Linked DNA regions of Oryctolagus cuniculus. The main gene of each other region encodes a partner of the protein of the gene in region 2 in a complex. Links are inferred from orthologs where the notes say so. Each region holds a gene or a part of one and is shown on either strand. Other genes may lie near its edges.

The links.
Region 1: HDAC3 (region 2) and TBL1XR1 share a complex: the UniProt entries of both Homo sapiens proteins name them as parts of the N-Cor repressor complex. The link is inferred for Oryctolagus cuniculus from reciprocal best matches to the Homo sapiens genes HDAC3 and TBL1XR1.
Region 3: HDAC3 (region 2) and NKAP share a complex: the UniProt entries of both Homo sapiens proteins name them as parts of the notch corepressor complex. The link is inferred for Oryctolagus cuniculus from reciprocal best matches to the Homo sapiens genes HDAC3 and NKAP.
Region 4: HDAC3 (region 2) and CIR1 share a complex: the UniProt entries of both Homo sapiens proteins name them as parts of the notch corepressor complex. The link is inferred for Oryctolagus cuniculus from reciprocal best matches to the Homo sapiens genes HDAC3 and CIRSR.
Region 5: HDAC3 (region 2) and GPS2 share a complex: the UniProt entries of both Homo sapiens proteins name them as parts of the N-Cor repressor complex. The link is inferred for Oryctolagus cuniculus from reciprocal best matches to the Homo sapiens genes HDAC3 and GPS2.
Region 6: HDAC3 (region 2) and CORO2A share a complex: the UniProt entries of both Homo sapiens proteins name them as parts of the N-Cor repressor complex. The link is inferred for Oryctolagus cuniculus from reciprocal best matches to the Homo sapiens genes HDAC3 and CORO2A.

What each region holds. Positions count from the first base shown.
Region 1 is NC_091435.1:102,718,003-102,722,025, reverse strand, and holds the start of TBL1XR1 (F-box-like/WD repeat-containing protein TBL1XR1), read right to left. Parts: upstream 2,801-4,023; 5' UTR 2,662-2,800; intron 2,367-2,661; exon of another isoform or gene 1,837-2,366; intron 1,698-1,836; exon of another isoform or gene 1,543-1,697; intron 1-1,542. UniProt on the Homo sapiens protein: F-box-like protein involved in the recruitment of the ubiquitin/19S proteasome complex to nuclear receptor-regulated transcription units. Plays an essential role in transcription activation mediated by nuclear receptors.
Region 2 is NC_091437.1:29,206,481-29,210,576, reverse strand, and holds the start of HDAC3 (histone deacetylase 3), read left to right. Parts: upstream 1-1,296; 5' UTR 1,297-1,373; coding exon 1,374-1,428; intron 1,429-1,535; coding exon 1,536-1,618; intron 1,619-2,898; coding exon 2,899-3,041; intron 3,042-4,096. UniProt on the Homo sapiens protein: Histone deacetylase that catalyzes the deacetylation of lysine residues on the N-terminal part of the core histones (H2A, H2B, H3 and H4), and some other non-histone substrates.
Region 3 is NC_091453.1:73,167,905-73,171,848, forward strand, and holds the start of NKAP (NF-kappa-B-activating protein), read left to right. Parts: upstream 1-1,144; 5' UTR 1,145-1,768; coding exon 1,769-2,148; intron 2,149-3,944. UniProt on the Homo sapiens protein: Acts as a transcriptional repressor. Plays a role as a transcriptional corepressor of the Notch-mediated signaling required for T-cell development. Also involved in the TNF and IL-1 induced NF-kappa-B activation.
Region 4 is NC_091434.1:66,779,331-66,783,577, forward strand, and holds the start of CIR1 (corepressor interacting with RBPJ 1), read left to right. Parts: upstream 1-1,447; 5' UTR 1,448-1,538; coding exon 1,539-1,610; intron 1,611-3,845; coding exon 3,846-3,940; intron 3,941-4,247. UniProt on the Homo sapiens protein: May modulate splice site selection during alternative splicing of pre-mRNAs. Regulates transcription and acts as corepressor for RBPJ. Recruits RBPJ to the Sin3-histone deacetylase complex (HDAC). Required for RBPJ-mediated repression of transcription.
Region 5 is NC_091448.1:51,915,539-51,919,798, forward strand, and holds the start of GPS2 (G protein pathway suppressor 2), read right to left. Parts: upstream 2,801-4,260; intron 2,748-2,800; exon of another isoform or gene 2,504-2,747; intron 2,383-2,503; 5' UTR 2,313-2,382; coding exon 2,219-2,312; intron 1,931-2,218; coding exon 1,821-1,930; intron 1,750-1,820; coding exon 1,637-1,749; intron 1,516-1,636; coding exon 1,436-1,515; intron 1,360-1,435; coding exon 1,277-1,359; intron 1,116-1,276; coding exon 962-1,115; intron 884-961; coding exon 794-883; intron 706-793; coding exon 626-705; intron 526-625; coding exon of another isoform or gene 504-525; coding exon 408-503; intron 272-407; coding exon of another isoform or gene 268-271; coding exon 1-267. Other genes in the region: NEURL4 (neuralized-like protein 4), read right to left, coding at 3,298-3,502. UniProt on the Homo sapiens protein: Key regulator of inflammation, lipid metabolism and mitochondrion homeostasis that acts by inhibiting the activity of the ubiquitin-conjugating enzyme UBE2N/Ubc13, thereby inhibiting 'Lys-63'-linked ubiquitination.
Region 6 is NC_091432.1:201,885,333-201,888,832, reverse strand, and holds part of CORO2A (coronin-2A), read left to right. Parts: intron 1-1,035; coding exon 1,036-1,185; intron 1,186-2,628; coding exon 2,629-2,808; intron 2,809-3,500.

The DNA.
Region 1 (4,023 bases), on a different chromosome or scaffold from region 2:
TATGCTGCATTGCTATATACGAACTGATGTATTTATTCAACAGGTTGACATTCAGAAGAGCCGTTAATTACATCTCCTTTTATCAGGAACCCCTATGTTTACGTTCGGCATCTGCCTTTGTGCAAAGCTTGAAAAGCTCGCAGTGCACAGGAAGCAGTTACTTCTTACTGTTGCTGGACGGATAGCATGGTAATCACCCAAAAAGCTTAATTAGGTGTTGAGAACACAAGTATCAAAGAGATTCCTGGACCTATGTAAAAAATTATTAACATGTTTTTAACACTTCCATGATGCAACCGATGCAAAAATACCATCTCCACAAGGGGCCACTCCATTTACCATCAGCGTCTCCCATGTTAATAACCAAAGCTGACATCTGTTAAAAGAAAATGTCTTACAAACTGCCGGTGAGCTTGGCAACAATTTTTAAGACACTAACACGCCACTTGAGTCCATTCTCACAAGAAGAAAAACTTTTTCCATGCACACATTGTTTTCATCCCCCATAGAGTGTACTACTTTCTCCTACACAGGACTGATTCTAACTACTTCAAACGGGGGGGGGGGGGGGGGGGATTGGCACTTACTTGTAACTCTAATGATTGCAATTACATACATCACAGTACAGGACAGCAAAACTCAAAACAAAAAATTGAGACTCCAAACAAGCAGGAAAAACTCCATTTATGAGCAAAAAGTATAAACACACATCACATGCCTAATGGCTCTCAAGCCTATTTTCTTTCTGCTGCCCCTCCCCCATAGGTAAGTGCTAACTATTTCTAGAACTCTCAATGACAATTTGGGAAGCTTGCCATCAACTCCCATGATACAATCCAACATTCACGATGTTTTCATGGAGACAAAGCTGCCCTACTTCTCCAGACTATAAACTTATTAAAACGGTGAGAGAACACGCAGTCCCAGAAAGCCAAGATTACTAAAATACACCAATGTAACATGGGTCTCATTTAACAAAAAATGAAAAATGAATCACATTGCGAAACCCCCCCCCCCAAAAAGTCACTCACTGTCTTCACCGTGTAACCAGGATATTTACTTCAAGTTGTTTTAGGCTAAGAGGCTAAAAACACCACGAGGCCCTTATGGTCTCCAAACTGGAGGAGGGCTCTTCAGGAAAAAAAAAAAAAAAAAAGGAGGAAGATGATTACTTAATGATGGAGGGGGAGGGGAAGGAGCCTCCAGTCTAAAAACCTAGAACTAAAAATAACCCACCATATTTTATTAACAAGATGTTTAGATGAGCATAAGGTTCTTGTTTGGAAAACAAGAAAGCCAACAGTAGTAAACTTCCCTAACTCGACTGCAAATCGCATAGGTACTAAAACTCTTAACCTCTGGGTCCTGCACAGTCCAAGCAAGATCTCAAGCAAACTCCAGCCGCCGAGAAAATCCGATTTTTAACTAGGCTGCAACACTTCTCTCTCAGATTCACCCATTATTTTTACAAATTGTCGGATAACCTAACAAAGAGCATTTTTTTTAAAAGCCACGACGACCCAAGTTTTCCATGAAACACACCATTTTCACAGGCTGAACTGAATCCCGGTCGCCACTGCAAGGCGATGCCCGCTTCAGCAAATTAGGAACTTCCAAAAAAACGCCGAACACGTTAACACACGCATGGCTTCCCTCGGGCTGCCACCGTGAAGATTAATATTTCACTTCAAGAAAAAGTCTTGTTTTCTGTTCAAAAAAAAAAAAAAAAAAAAACGACCTCGCCTGCAAAGAGGAAGTTCCCGAGAAACCACCCTCTCACAACGTGGCCTCTCCACTGTCAGAAAACACTGGCACTCGGTGCCACCCGAAACTTACCAGGAAGCTGGCAACAACTTTGCCAATTCTACACTTCTGAACCCAACTTCAAAGGGGCTCCACCAAACAGCTCCCGCCGCCGGTGGGAAGCACCAAGTGACCAACCACCGCGTCCCGGAGCGAGGCCCTGCGGCCGCCCGCCCCTCCCCCAGCCGCCGGCGCCCCCGCCCCGGACGCGCGGCCCCAACGACCGTCCGCAGCCCCCCGCACGCCGGCCGGGGGCTCGGGCCGCGCCCGCCCGGGGGAGCCGCTTCCCATGGCTGCCTGGGCTTCCACACAAAAATCGCGTGCATCGAGAGGAGCCGTCTCCTCGGCTAAAAATAGGCTATAAAGGAGTCGGCCTCATGATGGCTCCTTGATTCAATTTGCTGCAAATTCTTTCCTCAAAGCCTCCCCCCACCCGGCGCGCGCACACACACACACATATACACACACATACACATATACACATACACACAAAAAGGGGGTGTCGGTGCACGGAGGGGGAAGGGGCCAGCAGGCCCGGGTGCCCATTTTCGGGGCCAACGACAACATAATTAGGGTGAGGATCCCCCCCGAGACCCAGGGAGGGTGGGGGGGGTGGGCAGGCACGTGAGCATTTCAAAGGCGCCAGGGAGAGCCAAGGCGGGGGGATGGGGCACCCTAAATGCCCTCCCTCCCCTCCCCCACCCGAGCCCCAGCTCCCCCAAGGGCCCAGTGGAAAAACGCATGTTCCCCCTAGCGCCCATCCCCCCGCGGCCCGGCGCCCCCCGGCCGCCTCCGGCCCGCGGCCCCCCGCCCGGCCCGCGGCCGCCCCCACTCAGGGGTCCGGCCCCCGGCGCTTACCTGGAAACGGTGGCCTCCAACGCCGCTCCCCCCCTCCCGGGAATGGAGGCACAAGGAAACTCCCCTCGTCGCCGCCGCCGCCGCCGCCACCGCCTCCAACCACCCCCAAAATAACCCCTCCGGGGGGTGAGAGGCAATTATAACCCCGGCGAGCGCGGGGCGCGGGGGATGGGCGCCGGCGGGCGGGGGCGGGGAGCGCGGCGCGGGTCCCCAGGTGGCGAGCGGAGGTGCTCCCGCCGCGGGGGGAGGGGCGGGGGCGCACGCGGCCGGCGGCGGGGGGAGGCGGCGCGCGGGGGAAGGGCGCGAGCGGGGAGAGGAATTGAGGCAGAAGGTAAAAGCTGTTACTAAGGGAAAGAGCCAAACGGTTCGGAGCAGCCAACGGCTCAGACACTCAACACTGGGGAGAGAGGAATGGGGACCAGCCAGGCACAAATGAGCTCGCGAGGCCCGCGGCGGCGGCGGCGGCGGCGGCGGCCGCGCAGCAAAACAAACCCGAGCGGCCTGCGCCGGGCGGGCGCGCGGGGGAGGGGCCGGGGGGAGGGGCGCGGGGAAGCGGCGGGGGGGGGGGCGTCCGCGGGCCGCGCTCCTCTCCCTCCCGGCTCTCGGCGGCGGCGGCGCTGGGGGCTGGGCGAGTGCGGCGCATTCTTTTAAAAAAGAAAGCCGGCCCCGCGGGCGCTCCGAGGCGCCTCCGGGCGCGGGCGGCCCCGCCCCGCCCCCACCGCCGCGCTCGGCTGAGGGCCGCTGGGTGTAGGCCGCGCGGCCGGGCCGGGGCCGGGGCCGGGACCCGGGCCCGGGCCGGCCGAGTTTCCTGGGCGGCCGGCGCGGCGCACACGCTGCGGGCATGTGCGGGAGCGCGGCGCAGGCCTCGTGTGGACATTTGCTGAGGAAGGGCTAGCGCTAGTGCACACCTTTGTGTGCGTCAGTGCATATGTTACTGGGAAGCGTACCTGCACAGGGGCTCTAAGCTGTAAGAAGCGGTTTTCCGAGTGGAATCCGGAGCACGGGCTCTGCAGAGCGAACAGTCGCACACCGGGAGGGGTTTCTGATACTAAACACAGGGCTGTGATTGCAGTGTTTGTGCCCAAATGGACTGTGCGTCAAGCATATGGTGGTATTTATCGTCTGGTGGGCCTGTGGCAGAGGTTGGGTCCATCAGTTCGCATCTCACGAGAATAAAATCACGCTGCCCGGTGTGGACTAAATACGTGCCTCTACCGCAGCCTGCACGGTGGAAGTTCAGGCCCTGCGCGCACTCGGTGCGTGTGTGCTGTGGCGCATCAGAGGCGGCGATCGAACTGGAACTGAGGTGGCTGATACCGCGATAATAGGATGGAGGCAGGGAGTGCGGCGGGCTCTTTTTGA
Region 2 (4,096 bases):
TCAGGATCCGAAACAGGCATGCCCCAGTGGACCCTCCGGTCCCACCACCCGGCTACCCAACCAGGGAGCTGTCCCGGCCAGCGGTGCTGGTCTGCCAAGACCGCCCGTGGCAGGAGGCCCGACGGCGGCTGGGCAAGCCCTCTTCCACGACCCTGGTCCCAGACCGTTCCCCTTCCCAGCTCGTCCCGCGCTCCCGTCCCTGCCAAGGACACTGCAGCGCCAGACGGGACAGCATTCTCCAGGCGGCGGGCGCTCTGATCGCGCCTGAGTCAGCGTCCGCACCTCCCTCCGCGCCGGCCTGAGCCAGGCCTCTGCAGCCCCCTCCCCTCCCTGTACTCCCGGACCCCTCCCTTCCCTTCTCGGTTCCTCCCACCCTGGCCACCTGGCCCACCCGGTACCGGTGGTTTGGTTCTGGTTCCGACTCCGGCTCGGGTTCCGGCTCCAGGGGCGTTCTAGTCCGGCTCAAGGCCCCCGACGCCCTCCCGGCGCTCATCCCTTGGTTCCTCCCCCTCCCCCCTTCGCCGCCTCACCGGCTCCCGGCTGTGGCTGCGGATACCGGGGCCGCGGCAGGCGGGGGGAGGGAAGGATGGCGCGGGCTGCGGGCTGCTTGGCCGCGGCGGCAGGCTCTGGACAACTCCGGCCCTGGGGAAGCGAGGCGATGGGGGAGCCCCCCGCAGCCGCCCTGGGTTCCCAAATGCCGTCGCCCGTTGCCGGCCCGGGATCAAGGGGCGGAGCGCAGGTGTGCGGGGCTCAGAGCGTGAGCTCGGCGCGCGTGTGAGCGCAAGTGGGATGCGCGCGTGACTGCGCTGGGCCCCCCCCGGGGGGAATGTGCGGCGCCGAGTCTGGGTCCAGGTAGGGGACAGGAGGTTCGGCGGGGGTGCTCTTCTCTTGGTCTATCCCGCACGCCTGGCGCAGCTCCTGCCCTCAGATGCCCTGGCTGAGAGGATGGCCGGGATCTTCCCAGGGAGCTGGGGGAAGCTGGCTTTCTGCCCCTGAGAGGGGCGGCGTGCCCGGATCTTCAGCGCTTCCTAGAGCGGTGACTACTGCCTGCCCTGGGTTTGGGACAAGTGGCGGGACGGAATGGCCTGGCTTCCCGAGGATCTGGCCTCCGCCCGCAAGGCAATGTTCCTGGCATCCTAGGACGGATGCTACCCGTCCCCCGCCCAAGCCAGGATGCTAAAGCCCCAGAACCTAATAGGACACAGCCAGGCGAGTGGCCCAACTCCCGCAAGGGGCGTGGCCTGGGCGGGCGGGGCGGGGCGGGGCGGAGCGGGCCCGCCCCCGTTCCGCAGGGGCAGGCTGCGTGCTTGCGCAGCACGCACGGCGGGGGTGGGGCTGGCGGCGGAGGCGCGGGGCCTGCTCCGGCCGGCACCATGGCCAAGACCGTGGCCTATTTCTACGACCCCGACGTGGGCAACTTCCACTACGGTGAGGAAAAAGGGTTATGAGCGAGGGGTGGGGACGCAGAGGTTTCGAGTTGGGGGCTGCATCTCCAGGGGTGGGAACTGACAGACTCCGTTCTCCCGCACCCCCAGGGGCTGGGCACCCTATGAAGCCTCATCGCCTGGCATTGACCCATAGCTTGGTCCTGCACTACGGCCTCTATAAGAAGATGATCGTGAGTCTCGCAGCCTCCGGGGATTGGGGGCGAGGGCCAGCTGCGGCTTTAGGGCTAGGTGGGCTGGGCTGACTGCACCAGGGGCAAGCCGCTCCTAGAGTAGTGGGTGGCCGAATGGAAGACCCCAGAGGCACCCCTTTACATGCAGGGTGTCGAGGAGGCTTCCCCTGATTTAATGGGAGTAACTTTTCCACCTCAGGTCTGCCGCCCTTTGCCCTGCAGCAGACCAACCCTTGTCCTAGGATTAGGGTGGTGCGGGCCTGGCTTAAAGGCAGGCTTTTTCCTCCCCCTGCATTATAGGCTGTGGACAGAGCTGTGGCATTGGGTATGGGGGGGCGCTGGATCACTGTTTCTGAGTGTGAGGTTTACCCCACAGTGCCTATCGCTGCTCTTCCATGTCTCTGCCTCCGAGGAGCTAGAGCTCCAGAGAGAACTCTGCACCACGCTGAGTATGAATGTGTGGGTGTGGAAGAGAGCAGATGTCCTGGGAGTTCCCTTTACAACCCAGAATACCTCTACATGCTTCTGCTCAATAACTGCCCAATCTTCTGTCTCCCAGGCTGTGGGTCCCCAGCATGGAATTGATCGCTGTGAATAATATGGGATAGTAAACACTTAAGCCCAACCCTTGCTTGTGAGGGGACTTCGTCAGCAGCATGGATGAATGTCCATTGCTAGTGCTGAGGCACAGACAAGTGGATGGGTCATAGACAAGACGGGGGCGATGTTAGTGCAGGAGCCTGGGGGTCCCTGGAGATTGTGTGCTTGGATGCACCTGTGCATATCTTTTTCCTTGCCCAGTTTTCAAAGAGGTGTGTGAACTCCAACCCCTAAGATGATAGGTACATGTTTGATTTAGCACCTTCCATTTTAGTTAGCAGGTTGTCATACAGACTGTATATTTGACTCCAGAAACCAGATGAGAGAGACTAGAATCAGGCAGGGGAGGGAGATGAGTATGGAGGGAACCAGGAATAGGAGATCTAGGGAACAGGGCAGGGAGATCAGCGCTCGAGATTAAGAAGGAAGGAGCCGTTGGACTGGAAGTGGGAGGGAGAGGGAGAGGAAGCAACCTTTGGGATCTTGATCAGCATAACCCACCTGGCTAGTTGGAGCTTTTTTCTTCACTGACCTTTTCTCATAGAATAACAAGGATGGCGGAGTGGGGGCATTGCTGTGTGGGTTGGGACAGTCTCCAGGACTGGGTTCGGTGAGGGCTGGTCTCAGCTCCGTGAGTGAGCCTGGCCCTGCCTGAATTTGTCTTGTGTCTCCATCCCGAGGTCTTCAAGCCGTACCAGGCCTCCCAGCATGACATGTGCCGCTTCCACTCTGAGGACTACATCGACTTCCTTCAGAGAGTCAGCCCCACCAATATGCAAGGCTTCACCAAGAGCCTTAATGCCTTCAACGTGGGCGATGACTGGTGAGTGAAGGCTGGACTTTGGATGTCATCAGGTTCGTTGGTACCAGGCCCTTCGGTGAGGTCTTGGCAGCAGTGGGAAGATAGGAGGGGGGGCTACTTGTCATTGAGTCACTGTTCACTTGTTTATTCAGTAAATATTTAGTGATCATTTGCTCTAGGCCAGGGCGTGTGCTGTGAACACCAACAATATTGTAATATTAATATTAATAATTCCTAAATATCAGTTATGCAAACAGTATTCAGATTTCCTCATTCATCTCATTTTTTTTTTTTAAGATTTATTTTATTTATTTGAAAGGCAGAGAGAGAGCGAGCGAGTGTGGGAGAGTATGAGAGATCTGCGGGTTCATTCTCTAAATGACTGCAACAGCTGGAGCTGGGGCAGGCTAAAGCCAGGAGTCTAGAACTACATTTGGGTCTCTCATGTCGATGCCCAGTATGTGGGCCATCTACCACTGCCTTCCGAGGTGCATCAGCAGGGAGCTGGATTGGAAGTAGAGCAGCCGGGACTTGAACTGGTGCTCCTATGAGATGCCGTGCATCATAGATAGGTGATGGGGTAACCTGCTGCACCACAATGCCAGTCCCTCTTTTTTTTTTTTTTTTTGCAGTAAATTTTTTTTTAAATCACGATCTAAATCAAGTCAGCATTATATTTGGTTGACGTGTCTCTTAAGACTTTCAATCTATGGCTTCCCCCTCTTCTCCGTGAATTTATTTTGATGGAAGACCTCTCTCTCTCTCTCTGCCTTTCCTCTCTCTGTGTAACTCTGACTTTCAAATAAATAAATAAATCTTAAAAAAAAAAAAGATTTTCAACCTATGGCTTGCCTTCTCCTTGAATTTATTTCTTGCCCGATGTTTCTTATGATAGCTAGCATTTGTTGAGTGCTTATTCTGCTAAGTATTAACCTGAGGGTTGCTGTGCAGTCTCCTAATTCTTACGTCAACGCTGAGATGTCTTTTCTCTGCTTTGTACATAAGTAAATGGAAATTTGAGAAGATTCGGAAGCTTAACCTGAGTCACACGGCTGGTCAGTGGAGGTGACAGGATT
Region 3 (3,944 bases), on a different chromosome or scaffold from region 2:
CCCTGTGACCCACTTGGAAGACCCAGATGGAATTCTGGGCTCCTTCAGCCTGGACAGGCCTCAGCCACTGCAGTCATCTGGGAAGTGAACCAGCATATGGAAGATTCTTTCTTTCTTTCTTTCTTTCTTTCTTTCTTTCTTTCTTTCTTTCTTTCTCTCTCTCTCTCTCTCTCTCTCTCTTTCTCTCTTTCTCTCTTTCTCTCTTTCTCTCTTTCTCTCTTTCTCTCTTTTTCTTTCTTTCTTTCTTTCTCTCTCTCTCTCTTTCTCTCTCTCTTTCCCTTCCTTCCCTTCCCTTCCTTTCCTTTCCTTTTCCTGCCTTCTTTCCTTCCTTTCCTTACTTCCTCCCTCCCTTCCTTCTCTCTCTCTCTCTCTCTCTCTCTCTCTCTCTCTCTCTGTCACTCTGCCCTTGAAAAAAAAAATAAATCTTTAAAGCAGAAGAAGAAACAGGAAAAGAAATAAAGAGAGGAAGGGTGGGAGGAAGGAAGGAAGGAGCCCATACCCTGGGCTGCTGGTGTGGTACAGCAAATTATGCTGCCGGTTGCAACAGCAGCATCCCATATCGCAGTGCCTCTTTCAATCCAGCTCCCTGCAAATGTGCCTGGAAAAGCTGCCAAAGGACTGGCTGGGGCCATTTGAGAAGTGAACCAGCAGATAGAAGACCTCCATATCTCTCTCACATTCGCTCTCACTCTTGCTCTACCTTTCAAATAAGTAAATAAATATTTTAAAAGCAGCAGCAGCAGCCAGCATCCCATATCAGAATGCCAGAATTCCTGACTTCAGCTCCTAATTCCAGCTTCCAGCCAATGCAGACCCTTGAGGCAACAGGTGATGTCTCAAGTAATTGGGTCCCTGCCACCCACGTGTGACACCTGTATTGGTTCCTGGTTTCAGCTTGGCCCAATCCTGGCTGTTGCATGCATTTGAGGAGTGAATTGGTGGATAGGAACTCTGTCTCTCTTTCTGTCTCTACCTCCCAAATTTAAAAACAGTAGAAAATGAACAGAAATACTGATCATAAACCACATATTGCTAGGCTAGCAGATGACTAGTTTAAGGGGCTGGATAAAGAGAGGGTTACATATTCCTTTTGCTGAAGCACACGGGTGGAGATAGTTACTGTAAGAAAAGTATGCAATTTTTCTCTGGGCTGCAAACTTATTTGGAGTGTATCAGGCTCAAGACGTTAACACAGACTTTGTGCCTTCTATGCTACCTGGGCAATACGGAGCTTAGATATCATAGCTCACCCCAATCGCGATAAACTTTCCTAATTTTTCTTGGGATTAGGAAAAAAAACCAAATTATATGCAATATATATTCTCAATCATACATAAATGCATAATTATACACAGAAGGCACACGAAACACATACAGAATTGGATGTGTTGTTCATACGACCACTCTGTGAAATGTATCTTATATTCCGCCATCCTTCTCTTCAGGTACCACAAAGTTCGAAGCTGAGAAAGGACTTTATCTCCTCTCCCCGTTAGTTTAGCTTTGAGAAGCCACTCGGAACTAGAGGAGAGCGTAGACCCAGTTGCCCTACCGGCTTGTTTATACCGATACACACGTCCGTTCAAGTCTGCAGAACCGCCTACGTCCGGGGAAGGGGTTTACCGACGTACTCGAAACGATTCCCAAGGTTCCCCTCAGGTTTGGGTGGTTGTAAGGTGGCGGGATCTGAAAGCCAAGGCAACCGGGATCTTCCTAGACTGGTGAGAGCGCCCCCTTCTTCAGCGACTTCTGGGATCCTGCAGCAGCAATGGCTCGGGTATCCGGCTCACGGAGCCCGGAAACTTCGGGCTCCGGGGGAAAACGTCGCAGTTCGTCGAAGAGCCCCAAGCCCAGCAAATCTGCTCGGTCCCCGCGGGGCCGCCGCTCTCGCTCGCACTCTTGCTCTCGATCCGGGGAACGGAATGGCCTCAGTCACCATGTAGGTGGCCTCAGTCACAGCTCAAGAAACCAGTCCTACCGCTCCCGCTCGCGGTCACGTTCTCGAGAGCGGCCCTCTGCGCCTCGGAGCACACCTTTCGCTTCTGTCTCCTCGTCCACCTATTATGGCGGCTACTCGCGCCCCTATGGGAGCGACAAGCCGTGGCCTAGCCTCCTGGACAAGGAGAGGGAGGAAAGCCTGCGGCAGAAGTGAGTGACCCCCCTCCCCCACTTTTCCTTTTACGAACCCACCTCCCTTTGGAGTCCGATTTATCATTCATTCCTCTTGTGGCCGTTTGTGTTCGCTCATACTTGCCTTGTATCCGTTTTCACCCCGTTATCCAGTCCACCCATGGCGACCCTTTTATACGTCCTTTTATTCCCTTACATTTTCATTCATTATACATTGCCATGGTTTCGTGCTACCCTCTTCCCTCTTCGGGGTTGTTAGCAAACGCGGTCAAGAGCCTCACATCTACCAGATTTATAGCATTTACTTGGTTGTGCCATTATCATTTGAGAGCCCTTTTATTGATTATAGAATTCCCAGTGCCTAGCACTTTGCAAACATGCAACCATTGCTTATTGAAGAAATAGGCTTGATTTAACAGAACACGTAAGTGGTAATGTTTTGTGGGGAATTGGGAAGGTTGAAATCAAGGGTTTAAATTGGAGAGAAGGAAAATCTTCCCCTCAGACAAGGCGATGAATGTAGGAAAAGTGACCTGCTAGGCTGTAGATGAGGCTACCTTGAGAAAGGACTTGCAGAGTGGTCTCGATCTTGTTTGATCATGAAAAATGATATTGGGGTGAGATCAAATTTCTAGTAAGAGTGAGTATGGAGTGGAAAAATGCATGGTTTAAGGGGAAAGGAAAAGGTTTATAATTATTGCTGTGGAAGCCTTTGTCTCTAATGTTTATTAAAGGTTAGATTTATGTATCCAGTACTGTGCTGAGGACTAGACATGCTGTATGTGTCAGAAAATGAGAAATGTAAAAGTATTTCAGGCATTGAGGAGCAAGTTAAAGTTTCAGCAGTTGAGAGGTGTCTTTGTGATTCTTTTGCTAACTGCAGTTTCATCCAGGAATCAGACTGTCTGAAATTGATGTGCTTATTTGGTATTTAACAACAGTGTGAACTTGAGCGAGTTGCTTAACCTCTCTGAGTTTTACTTCTTCACTATTAAAAAAAAGATAAAATTAGTATGAAGGATTTTAGGGTTGTAATAATTTAGTGTTTGGAACATAATAAATACTCCACAAGTGTTAGATGTTAGTTCAGCATGCATGGAAGAAGAAACAGTGAAAACAGTCCTGAGTTAGGTTACTTCCAAGTTAAATTTTTCAGAAAAGTACCCAGAGGCTTTATCAATCAAAAAGCAAATGGTTTCTTAGTGGAAAATCTCCACCAAAATATGTCAGAACTACTTGAATGAAATTTGCATTTGTACATTTAAGGAGATAAGTAATTTATCTTAACAGTACAGATGAAGCCAGGTGACAGCAGGTATGAGAACAGGACTCCAAGCACTGTAGAATTTGGCTGATACTCTTCTCCCTATATGTAAATATTCCAAGTATGTCCCCTTTTAGATTGTATGTTTCTTAAAGTGGGAAATGCTGAGTCTGACTCTGCATAATGATGATATAATTTCCCCCTGAAGAAATAATATAATTTATTCAAACAAACCAGCTATATTTATTTTGTAAGGATGTTTAAAAAGAAATCAAATCACAAACAGCCAAACTTTTAGGAAGTGGGCCTTTTTTTTTTAACTTTAAGAGTAATAGCAAAAATTAAAACAAACCACATTATAAAACAAAAGAAGAAAATTTTAATGTCCTCCAAAGAATAGAGAATGTACTACTTTTCCAAAAAGAAACTAAAGGGAAAACAGAGAGAGAACAAACCCTGTGTCTCACTGAGTACAAGTTTTGTCAAATAAGACTTTTTTTCATTTTTAGAACTTTTGTTTTCTGCTTTTATCAATTCCTGGGCTTCTGAA
Region 4 (4,247 bases), on a different chromosome or scaffold from region 2:
TACTCCACAAATGGCCACAACAGCTGGGGCAGGGCCAGGCCAAAGCCAAGATCGCAGACCTCAGTTAGGATCTCCCATGTGGGTGGCAGGGGCCCGTCTCTATCTGAGTGCTGGTTTGAGTCTTAGCTGCTCTGCTTCGGATCCAGGAAAGCAGTGGAAGATGGCTCAAGTACTTGGGCCCCTGCACCCTCCTGGGAGACCCAGATGAAGCTCTTGGCTCCTGGCTGTGGCTTGGCCCAGCCCAGCCCAGGCATGAGGCCATTTCCAGGGTGAACTAGCAGATGAAAGATGTCTCTTCTCTCTGTCACTCTACCTTTCAAATAAATAAAAAATAAATCTTTAAATAAATAATGACTCAAGAAACGACTTCAACTAAAACTCTCTTCTCAGTGATGGAAGTTCTCCTTTGTTTCTGTGCTTTTCTTTGTGTATTTCAACCTTTATGTCCTGCGTTTCCTTCTAATTGTGGTCCAAAGTTAGTCCCATCACTCTATGAGCTTAGTAGGTCCTTTAATCCCTCTCTCTATGCTTCCTCCCTCATTGGTAAAATAAGATACTCTCTTATGGGGCTGTTACGAGAATTTAGTAAGACAACATGAAAAGCGTTTTTGCACAGTCAAGGAACGTGGCGGACACTTAAAGCTGTCACAGTTATTACTTGGCAGAGGAGTAAATTTCTCACAAAAGCCTTATTCTTAAGTCCCTCCCACTAGAGGCCTTGGGTGGTGAGGCAGCTACAGCGGTGGCAGCCCAGTCCACACAAAGCCCTTTAGTCCCTGCGCTAACCGGGGTCGTCGGGGAAGCTAAGGAAACTTAGAATGGCACGGAACTCCGCGGAGAAGGCGAAGCCTTAACAACCTTTACTACCTTCTAACCGTATTCATCGTTCAACAAACGTCTATTGAACATTTTTCAGCACCAGGCGCCGCACAGTTGGGAACAACTGGGAACAAAAGCATCCCCCCACCCCCGCTTCTGGGGAGCTGACAGTCTTATTTTAGAGGTGTAATCCACCAAGCGCTTTCTGAAACGTGACAGGGTTAGAACCTCACAAACTCTCCACAGTTAGGGCGACAACTGCCGTCTGCACAACACAGGAGAAAACCGGCGCAGGAAAGTTTCCGCAACTCAAGTTCCCAGAAAGTAACGGGATCAAACTCCAAGCAGCGCTGGCAGAAGCAGTCACCCTGCACCTCGCGCCGGAACCGCAGCCGGCGGGATGCAATCCGCCCCTGGCGCAGCTGGGCTCGGAGCCTCGCCCGTGGGCCCCTCGCCCCGGCAGGTCGCGCCGCGGTTCGCCCTTCCTCGTTCCCACCTCAACTCTGCACGCCGCTCCCCCGTGCACGCCCCTCCCCCGGCCTCCGAGCTACCTGAAGTGACAGGGGAAAGTGGCGAGGGAAAGCGGCTCGCTGCCGGAAGCTGCCACCTTTGACCTCGGAAGTTGCTGCTGCGGCCGGGGTGCAGTTCCGGTTAGGCGGCTGAGTTTGTTTACGCTGCTCTCGGGTTTGGAGGCTGCCGCCTTCTGCTCCGACTGCAAGATGGGGAAATCCTTCGCCAACTTTATGTGCAAAAAGGACTTTCATCCTGCCTCCAAATCCAATATTAAAAAAGTGAGTAAAGCGACCCGCGGAGGGATCTGGCTCATCGCTTCTGGGTCCCCGGGGGTTGCTTGAGGTGCGGTTTAGTGACGGTGTCCGTGTGATCCCCGGGAAGATCGCCGTTCCTGGATCATCTCCAGGCCTGAACCCGTGTGCTGTCGTCCCTTCTCCGCGGAGTATCTCACTGACGAAGCGATCCTTAATATTTATTTCTCATCCGCGGAGAACCGGGGAACCTAGTGGGCTCTGTCGCCTCTGTCAGAAAGTAAAGTCATAAAATGTGGAGATCGATATTAGAATTTCTTAGTGTTTCCCTCAGCTTTTGTCTTTTCTGGTCCCAGAGTTCACGACTCCTCAACTCTGGTTTCCTCTAAAATTCCCTGTTTAAGAGAGATCTTAAGAGAAATTAACTTGTTTCCACTCTACATCTCATCCAATAATGTAGTGTCTTTTTGATGACCTCGATTGAATTTAGCGTTTTAAGTAATTAATTTCAAGTCTGCTGGATGCGGGGTCGGATACTATGGCAGTGCAAAAATAGTGGGGAAGTAGAGTCTGAGTTAGACTCAGATTCCAGTTACTCCAGCACAGCTCCTGTTAGCCCTGAGACTTTGCACCTTTCTCAAAATACTTAATATCTAATCCTCAGTTTCCTAATCTGTAAATTAAGGAAAACCAGTATCGATTTCCGTGACTTGTGAAATTGCTGTGAGAATTAGTGAGGTTGTGCAGGTAAAAGGATTTGAAACAAAGAGGGCACTTAACCCTGTGTCCAGCTCAACAAAATGTTGATTGCCTGTACATACAAACTTGTGAAATGAACTAGCTTTTCGTTGTTTTTGAAACCACGTTGGCCGGCGCCATGGCTCACTAGGCTAATCCTCCGCCTGCGGCGCTGGCACAACGGGTTCTAGTCCAGGTCGGGGCGCCAGATTCTGTCCCGGTTACTCTTCTTCCAGGCCAGTTCTCTGCTGTGGCCCTGGAGTACAGTGGAAGATGGCCCAGGTCCTTGGGCCCTACACCCGAATGGGAGACAAGGAGGAAGCACCTGGCTCCTGGCTTCTAGCACTGACGGCCACTTGGGGGGTGAACCAACAGAAAAAGGAAGACCTTTCTCTCTGTCTCTCTCTCACTGTCTAACTCTGCCTATCAAAAAAAAAAAAAAAAGTTAAAAAAAAAAAAAACCAAACACAACTCAAATATAGGGGCCCATGTTTTTGGCTTAGCCAGTAAAACTGCCGCCTGCAATGCCAGCATACTAGGTGAGCACAGGTTGCTCTACTTCAGATCCAGTTCCCTGCTAATGGTCTGCGGAAAACAGTGTCAAAATGGCCTGAATACTTGGGCCCCTCACCCACAGGGAAGAAACTCCTAGCTTCAGCCTTGCTGTTGTGGCCATCTGGGGAGTGAACCAGTGGATGGAAGATCTCTCTCTCTCTCTGTAACTTTGACTTTCAAATAAATTTAAAAAGAAAATAAACTCAACTATACTGAGTTATATTTAATTTTTATATGTAAAACAATCCCATTTATTTAAAAAAGAATGTTGTGTATATTCTCTTACTTATATATGCATTAGAACATACTTATTTATTTATTTGAAAGAGTTACAGAAAGAGAGATCTTCCATCCGCTGGTTCACTCCCCAAATGGCTGAAATGGCCAGAGCCAGGCTGAGCTGAAGCCAGGAGTCAAGAGCTTCTTCTGAGTCTCGCACGTGGGTGCAAGTAGTTGGGCCCTCTTCTGTTGCTTTCCCAGGCACATTAGCAGGGAGATGGATCAGAAGTGGAGTAGCTGGGACTTGAACCAGTGCCTGTATGTGATACTTTACTCACCACACCACAGCATGGGCCCCTAGAACTTCTTTGAAAAGATATATAACAAAGGGAGTGGCATTCAAGGCTCTTGTTTAACCCTACATGTGCCCTATGCTGAAGAGTTATCTAGATGAGACAAATTCTTTTAGAGAGATTCTTGTTCTGTTCTCTGAAATAACCTAGGGACTGAGTTCAGAGTGGATCTCAAGTTTGACATTTTTGCCTGACAGTTCAGCTATTTTTAATGCTATCAAGATACAAATCAGATTTTTCAAGTATTATCTTGTGATGATGTCATTATGACTAAATTGGATTATGTTGTAAACTATAAATGATAGCATTTTATACTTACTGTAATATAAAACTTCCTTAAGTACTTAGATTAAGTATTTAAATACAACTATTTATTTTTTTTACTTTACTAATTTAGGTATGGATGGCAGAACAGAAAATATCATATGACAAGAAGAAACAAGAAGAATTGATGCAACAGTATCTTAAAGAACAAGAATCGTATGATAATAGGTATGAAATTCCATTTTGCCAGTGTTTTTAAAATAATGAATTATGTGAGAAGAATCCCTTACTGAATCATGTATTAATTCAGTTTTTTGGAGTTGAATGCCCCAGTGATAGGAGTCTGTTCTTTTTTTGTGAACTGTCTTCTTTACTCTTATACCTGTAAATGGCCACTTCTTCCAACTTTACCTCCAATTCACATAAAATATAGATTTATGTAGCTCATTACAGTCTGTGAGCAACTCCTAACTTAAGCAAAATTTAGAGGAACAGTAAACATCTACACTTGAACTGCTGAGACCTGGTTTTTTCA
Region 5 (4,260 bases), on a different chromosome or scaffold from region 2:
TGTCATCACTTGGACTTGCTGTGGACCTGCCAGCCTCCCCCTCCCCCCAGGCAGCCGTGGAATGCCCCACAGCTGGGTGGGGGCAACACAAACAGCAGCAGCAGGGCCATGGCAGGTAGAGTTTATTGGCCTGGGACACACAAGGGGGACCCTCACCCGTGGTGGGGTTGAAGAGACTCTCTGGTGGTCACTTGTGGTAGAAGCGTGGGTTCTGGCTGTGTTGGATGAAGGGGAGCCGAGGGCCGGGCTGGCTGGTAGCTGTAAAGCCTGACTGGTGGAGTGACAGGAGGGGTCTGTCAGTGGCCCCTTCTCCCTCCCACTCAGACCCTGACAAGCATCCCAGGGCAGAGCAGGGCGGGGGTCGTGGCCACTTGTCCTGACCTTTCCCTGCTGATCACCACCCTTACCTTTCCTGCTGGCTGCATCTGGACTGGGAGCTGGGGGGAGGCAAGGAGTCCAGGAGCTGGATGCAGAGCCTGGGGGTGCATGGGGCGCAGGGAAGACTGCAGAGAACAGAGTCAGGACCTGAGGTGTGCAGGGCTAACCTTGCACAGTCCTAACGCCACACCCCCTGCCCCAAGGGCTCCTCACAGTCCTGACCCACACCCCAGGACCCAGTACTCACAGAGTCTGAGAAGCCAGTCTGCTGGTTAGCATGTTCCATCTGCTTTTGCAAGGACAGGGCACCAGCAGGCTGTAGAAACCCTAAGTGGGGGACAGGGGCGTGTGAAATGACGTGAGAGTGAGGACGGGAGGGGCTGGAGCTAGGGCTCCCAGTGGGTGTCCTGGTCACCTGACTGGGTGGGCTGGAAGTGGCCATGCACGGCATAGGGCTGTGGCTGAGGCTGAGAGAGGTACTGCACTGCAGGAAACGCTGACGGTGCTGAGAAAGGCAAGAGGCACCGGCATCAGAACTCCAGCATTCCTTCCCGGTTCCCAGGAGGGGCCCCCTAGCACTCACCTCGGAGCTGCTGGCTGGGACTATAGGCTGGCTGGGTGGGCCCGTAGTGAGGCGGGGGCTGGGCAGTCCCGTAGGCACCGCCAGGACTGCCTTGGAATTGCCCGTGCTCTGGTGTCCCTGCAAAAGCTGCTGCGGAGCCCACGTAGTGCCGGGTCTAGGGAGGGGGGACGAGAGCTCCATGGAAACTGGAACACAAACTCCGGACTCGCGAGCTCTGCAGACGCGAGGTGTGCTTGGGATGCTTCTCACATCAAGTACGCCAGGGTGGGTGTAGCAGGGCAATGGGCCTGGGCCCACTCGCCCTGCTTTTCTCACCGTAAGCACTTGGGGTCCAAACATCTGTTTGGCTCTGTCAGCTGCCATGAGGGTGCCTGGGCGGCTGTGTCCTCCGGGGCTCCCTAGGAAGGAAGAGCAGCTTTGTGACGCTGGAGTGGGGGGCTGCCCTGCCCGGCAGGTGGGCCCCTCAGCCCTCACCCTGCATGCTGAGCAGGTGAGTTCCCGTGTGCACCGTCAGGCTCTGCTGGTAGGCAGCCGAGGTCAGCGTGGTCAGGTCGCTGGAGGGAAAGGAAAGCAGGTCAGAGCCAAGCACAGGAGCCCCTCGCCATCGAGCACCAGTGCCCTGTCCCCGCCCCGGTGCAGCCGGCCCCGTTCCCACTCTCGGCTCCCCGATCCCACCTCTGCTCCTTTCGCCTCCGTTTTTCTTCCTCGTGCAAAACCTTCTTGAGCTGCAGGAAGAGCTGGTGCTTCTCCTCCTGCAAGGCCAGAAGCTTCTCCTGCAGCTTCAGGATCTGGGGGGGAAGGAGAGGATGGAGGCGCGGCTGCCGCGGGAGGAGCCGGGCAGGGAGGTGGCGGTGCGTACTTGCTCCTTGGTCTCCTCCAGGGACATCCTCTCTTCCATTTCCTTCTTCTTCCTCCTCTCCTGCTCCTCCCTCATCTTCTGTTCCATCATCTTGTCCACCTCCTCTTCCTCTGCAGAAGGGGGGGGGGGGAGCCCAACGTTAGCCACGCCAGTTACCCCGAGGCTCCTGCACGCTCCCTCCACCGCCACGGGACAGCCAGAGGGCGGCTTGATCAGGTGCTCTCCAAGGTCCTTCCCTGGAGCTTGGGAGCAGGTCTCTAACTCCCCGCACGACGTGGGGGTGTTCCTTCCCTCCTCTAACTCGGCCTCGCGCGCAGGGGTCGGCCCGTGGGCGGGGGCCGACCCTGGGCCAGCGCAGACACCCCGGGCGTGCGTCCTCCCACTGCGGCCCGGCTCACCCTGGCGCTTGCGCTCCCGCTCCATCATGATGTGCCGGTGGAGCGCCCTGGCCATGGCGTTGGAAAGCTTGGGGCGCTCCAGGAGCGCGGGCATGGTGCCGGTGGGGACGCTCGGGCCGTGGGCGCCCGGCTATGTCAGTGACTGCCAGACTTCGGGATGAGGCCTGCGGGGAGGCGGGAGCTCAGTGGGGGCCGTGGCCAGCCGCGGCGGAAGCCCGTCCGCCCGGCCCGCTCGCCGTCCGGGTCACGTGCGGCGGGAGCCCCTCGCTCGGTCTGGCCACAGACCCCGCTCCGCGGCGCGCCCCGGCGGCACCAAGGTCCCGGCTGGACGCTCCGGCCGCTCTCCTCCGCGGCCCGGGCCGCCCGCCCCTCCCTACCCGCCTTCTCGGCGCTCTCTCCGCGGCCCCGGCGCACCTCGGCCCCCGCTACGTCACATCCGGCGGCCGGGCCGAGTGCTTCCGGAGTCACGGCGGAGGCCGGCCTCGCGGGTTGGCCGAGGGAGAGGCGGAAGTGCACTGGGACGGGTGCCCGCGACGCCCAAACCTCGGCGCGGGGCGGCGGGGACAGAGAGGCTGAAGCGGATGCTAGGAGAGGGCGTTTATTGGCTCTTTAGAAATCAGTCAGTAACAACTGTACAGAGGGCCCCGTCGTCCTCGTGCCCGCCCGGCCCACGCCCGCCCGCCGGCCCCCGGAAAAGCAGCTTCATGTGGACACAGGGGGACTCCTGGGATTCACAGTAACCAGAAACAAAAACGGAAATAAATTAAGTGATATGGGGGAGGGGAGTAGTAGGGAGTCGTGTTCCCCAAATCAGTGCATGAAGAGGGGTCCCCTGGGCCCGGAGCTGGGCTCCCCGCAAGCTCCCCGCCATCAGAGGGAGTGTTCTGGGCCCCTGGACACGGAGGTGTGCTCCACTTCCCATCTGAATCTGAGAGCCTGTCTACACTGCAGTTCCTGCGCATCTGCCAACACTGAGCACCTGTGCATGCCATGAGTCACTGGAATGAGGTGGAGGCAGGCGTCACTCGGAGTCCGCGGGCCGAGACCCAGCTGTGCTTGTAGTAGTGGGGTCTCGCCCCTCATTCCACCCGTACCAGCAGGGCATAGAGGAGTATGGCCCCCTTCTCCTTAGTGACCCACTCAAGTTCGGCCGCGCCGAAGTGGGGGTCCGGAGGTTCTCTGTGTGCAGCGGAAGGGGGGCCCGGGGTGTAGGAGCCAGGGCGCACACACACCTGGAACGCCACCTGAGCCCGGTGTGTCCGCTGAGACTTGGGGTCCCGGAATCTGTCGGGCAAGAAGCAGAAACGGGAGTGAGGCCTCCGCCCCAGCCACACTTAGGGTTTGCTCCAAGGAAAAGGCCTTAGCTCCAGCTGTTCTGTCTACCCCAAAGGCTCTGCCTCCCACAGCCTGTCCGGCCACAACCCTCACTTCCCCTTCCTGTGACGCCTACCCTGCCCGCCCGATTTGAGAGGCAGAGACAGCGAGACAGACAGACAGAGCTCCCATGTGCTGGTCAGTCCTCAAATGCCCACAACAGCCAGGGCTGGGCCAGGACTGAAGCCAGGAGCTTAGGTCAATCCAGGTCTGCCCCAGGGGTGGCAGGAGCCCAGTCACTGGAGCCATCACTGCTGCCTCCCACGGTCTGCATCGGCAGGAGGCTGGGGCCAGGAGCGAGCCTGGAACTGACCCCAGGCACCGTGAGCCCCGAGATGACCCCTTGTAATGTGGCTGCTGCATCAGCATTTCCCATCCGCCTCACCCCACTCTCCTTCCTCTGTTTCCACAGTATTGACTCAGCACCTTTAAAAATACCAAAGGCTGGCCAGTGCCGCAGCTCACTAGGCTAATCCTCCGCCTGTGGCACTGGCACCCCAGGTTCTAGTCCCGGCCAGGGCGCCGGATTCTATCCCGGTTGCCCCTTTTCCAGGCCAGCTCTCTGCTGTGGCCCGGGAGTGCAGTGGAGGATGGCCCAGGTGCTTGGGCCCTGCACCCCATGGGAGACCAGGAGAAGCACCTGGCTCCTGGCTTCGGATCGGCATAGC
Region 6 (3,500 bases), on a different chromosome or scaffold from region 2:
TTCTGGCACCTTCTCCCCATCACCTCGGTTCCTTCCCAGAAGCCTCAGGGGCAGGGTTATGGGGGAGGGGGTGGGGTATCAGTTCTTTCCTGTAAAGTGCTCAGGTCCCCCCACCCCTGCTCCCAGGGCCTGAGGGCAGGGACGAGCTTCTAGCCCTGGGGTTCCTGGTGCTTTCGGGTTGAGCAGGCACCTGCACCTCCCCAAACAGGCCTGGCCAGTAACCGCCCTCGGCAGACCCATCTGTTTGCAGCTCGGGGCCTGCCTTCCTGGTATGAAACCCAAAACGACCAGGAAGTCAATATTTGCTGAGCCGAGAACAAAGCCGTCCAGCCGAGAAGCCTGTGTCTCAGAGAAGCGGAGCCGGGCCGGAGGACCCGGCAGGACAGCCCGGAAGGCCCGCGGGCACCGCCCCTGGCTCCAGCGCCCGCTGCCTCGTCCATGTCTGCCTCCGTGGCAGGGCGCTCGCTCCGCTAGCGCCCCCTGCCGTCCGTCCCTGGCCCGGCCCCCTGGCTTCCAGCCTGTCCTCTTCCGGGCCATCCAGGGCGCCCTGCGGAGCAGGAAGATGGCCCTGTCCCGTGCTGCTCCAGAGCCTGCGCTGGCTCCCAGGTGCCCTGAGGGCCAGCCTGGTGCTGCCTTGCTCGTCCTGACCCTGAGCTTCCGCCCTGGGCCTTGAGTGCGAGGTGGGGGCGGAGCCCTGGCCCCGGAGGGCTGGGCTGAGCTGGAAGGCAGCTTCGCTGTGGCATCCAGCGTGGGGACACTCCTGCGCCCATCCACCTGCCCAACATGTCCAACCGTCCAGGTGGCCAAGCATCCCCAGGGGCGGGTTGGGGGGTGTGGGCTCGTCTCTGCTCAGCTGGAGGACTGTGGCGAAGCCCGTTCCTCCGGGGCGCCCAGCTGTCCTTGACCCGTGGAGAGATGGATTTGGAGACTTTGCCCACTGCCTCTGCCGAGCACTGCCGGGTCCGTGGCTTGGGGTGGAGAAGGCAGGGAGGCGGCCCCGACTGACCCTCCCGTGGGCCGTGTCTCCCCTGCCAGATCAAGATCTGGGCCATCCCCAAACAGCTGCTGTCCAAGAACCTCACGGCCTACAGGAAGGAGCTGATGGGCCACGCGCGCAGGGTGGGCCTGGTGGAGTGGCACCCCACGGCCGCCAACATCCTCTTCAGCTCCGGCTACGACTACAAGGTGAGCAGCCTGCGTGGCCCTCTCCAGGGCTGCCTTTACAGCTGTCACCATTCTAGAGACAGAAACCCTACCTGGAGCTGAGCTCTTGGGGGAGATCGGCGCCCCCTACAGGCTCCAGAGAGAATATTCCTTTTTTTTTTTTTTAAGTATTTATTCATTTATTTGAAAGCAGACTTAGAGAGAGAATCTTCCATCTGCTAGCTCACTCCCAGATGGTTGCAACGGCCAGAGCTTGGCCAGGCCAAAGCCAGGAGCCAGGCGCTCCATCCAGGTCTCCCAAGTTTTGGGTGGCAGGGACCCAAGGCCTTGGGCCATCTCCCACTGCCTTCCCAGGAGCATTAGCAGAGAGCCAGGTCGGAAACGAAGCAGCCGGGACTCGAACCCATGCTCGTGTGGGATCAGGGTGCAGGCGGTGGCTTAGCCTGCTGCACCACGACGCCAGCCCTGGGCGGACCTTCCTGCCCTGTCCGGGGTCTGGTGGCTCCAGGTGCGCTTCACTCTGTCACTTAGCAGTGTCACTCCAAGCTCTGTGCTCCCACAGCCTCTCCCCGTGCGCCCGCAGGTCCTCTCCTAACCCGTTGTGACTGCACCTGAGCTAACGCCATCTGCAAGAGCCTCTTTCCACCCGGGCTCACATCTCGCATTCTGAGTTGGGGGGTGGGGGGTTGGGTTTGGGGAGACGCTGTTGAAGCCGTCACATCCTGCCAGAAGGGAATGGACCAGGCCTGCCAGGGCATCTGCCCTCTGCCCTGCTGGCTGCCGGGGGGACTGTGGGCCCCACGGCTGGGGGAAGTCCTGGCACAGGAGAGCTGCATTCCTCCCACTCCGCCTCCGGTTTGCGGGATGACCCGAAAAGTCCCTTGCCTCCTCCAGGCCTCGGTTTCCCAACCTGAAGACAAATAGGATTTCAGACTCTGCCCTTCTGACCCCGCAGCAGTTTGCAGAAGCAGCCGTGATGAGGAGAGGGTTGCTGGACCTCGGGGCCAGAAGTGCTCTTTCTCCTGGTTCTGCAGGGTGGGTCTGTGGGGCTCCCCGGCAAAGCTGTGTGCATTATTCCACACCCGCCTCCAGGGGGCGCTCTTCACACGGCCGCGAGTGTACAGTCTGTGTCACCACCCCAGGCAGTCCTGTTTGTCCATGCCAGGTGGGACCTGCTGCTTGTGACTGTTTGAAATCCTGGCATTAGCTGATCCCTTGGGGTCTTCCCAGCGTGATGTTCCGTTGCAGGAAGGCAGATGGTGTTTTGCTTTCGAGGCTAAATGGCCCTGCTCCCGGCTTCCCCCTCCCGCCATGCTTGGCCTCAGCCTGAAGATCCGCCCTCTGACCTGAGGCTTCCCAGCCAGGCTGCCAGCTGCAGCTCCCCTCCCAGGAATACTGTGTCTCACGGCAGGGTGCTGGGGCGGGGGTGGCCCTGTGCTCAGGGGCCCGCGCTGTGCCGCGCAGGTGATGGTCTGGAACCTGGACACGAAGGAGGCAGTACTCAGGAACCCCGTGCAGACGATCACTTGCCACCAGGACGTCATCCTCTCCATGTCCTTCAACACCAACGGCAGCCTGCTGGCCACCGCCTGCAAAGACCGAAAGATTCGGGTGCTCGACCCCCGAGTGGGGACCGTCCTCCAGGCGAGTGCTGGGCCCCAGGGGGCCACGGGGCTCCCGAGAGCAGGGCAGTGAAGCCGCCAGCAGCCGCGCCCAGGCTTTAGGGGCGTAGGCTGCACCCCCAACCCCCACCCAAGCCTGTCCCATTAGCACCACTGGGAGATAGGGTTTGCCGGCTCCATTTTTCAGATGACAAAACTGAGGCCAAAGAGAGATGAAGGGACCACACTGAGAGCTGGCATTTGAATCGGATCTGACTCCAGAGCTGGTCAGTGTGCCTCAGCGCTGTCCCTGGCCGGCGTCAGGAGACCTGAGGGCGCACTGGTTGTCAGCCGTGTAACCTCGGGCAGGCAGCTGCTGCTCTCTGAGCCCCTTCCTCCTTGTCTGCAGCCATGGGCTGACATCCTGCCTCTTAGGTGACTAACTGCACCAACCCATGTGGCAGTGGCCACCCTGCTGTCACTGGGAGTGCGGAGCTGGGCAGGGGTTTGTCTGTGACTTTGCTCAGAAAAAGAATTGCACCGATAGCAAGAAGGGATCCGGGAAGACTTCCTAGAGGTGGTGGCCCTGGGAAGATTCCCCAGCAGAGTTGGGGTGAGGAAGGAGGAAGGCCTTGTCCAGGTGGGACAACAACATCAGCAAAGCAGGGAGGCCAGAACCACCTGCTGCCATGGGGGTCCCCTCCCAGCATCTCCCCGACGCTGACCGCACCTGTC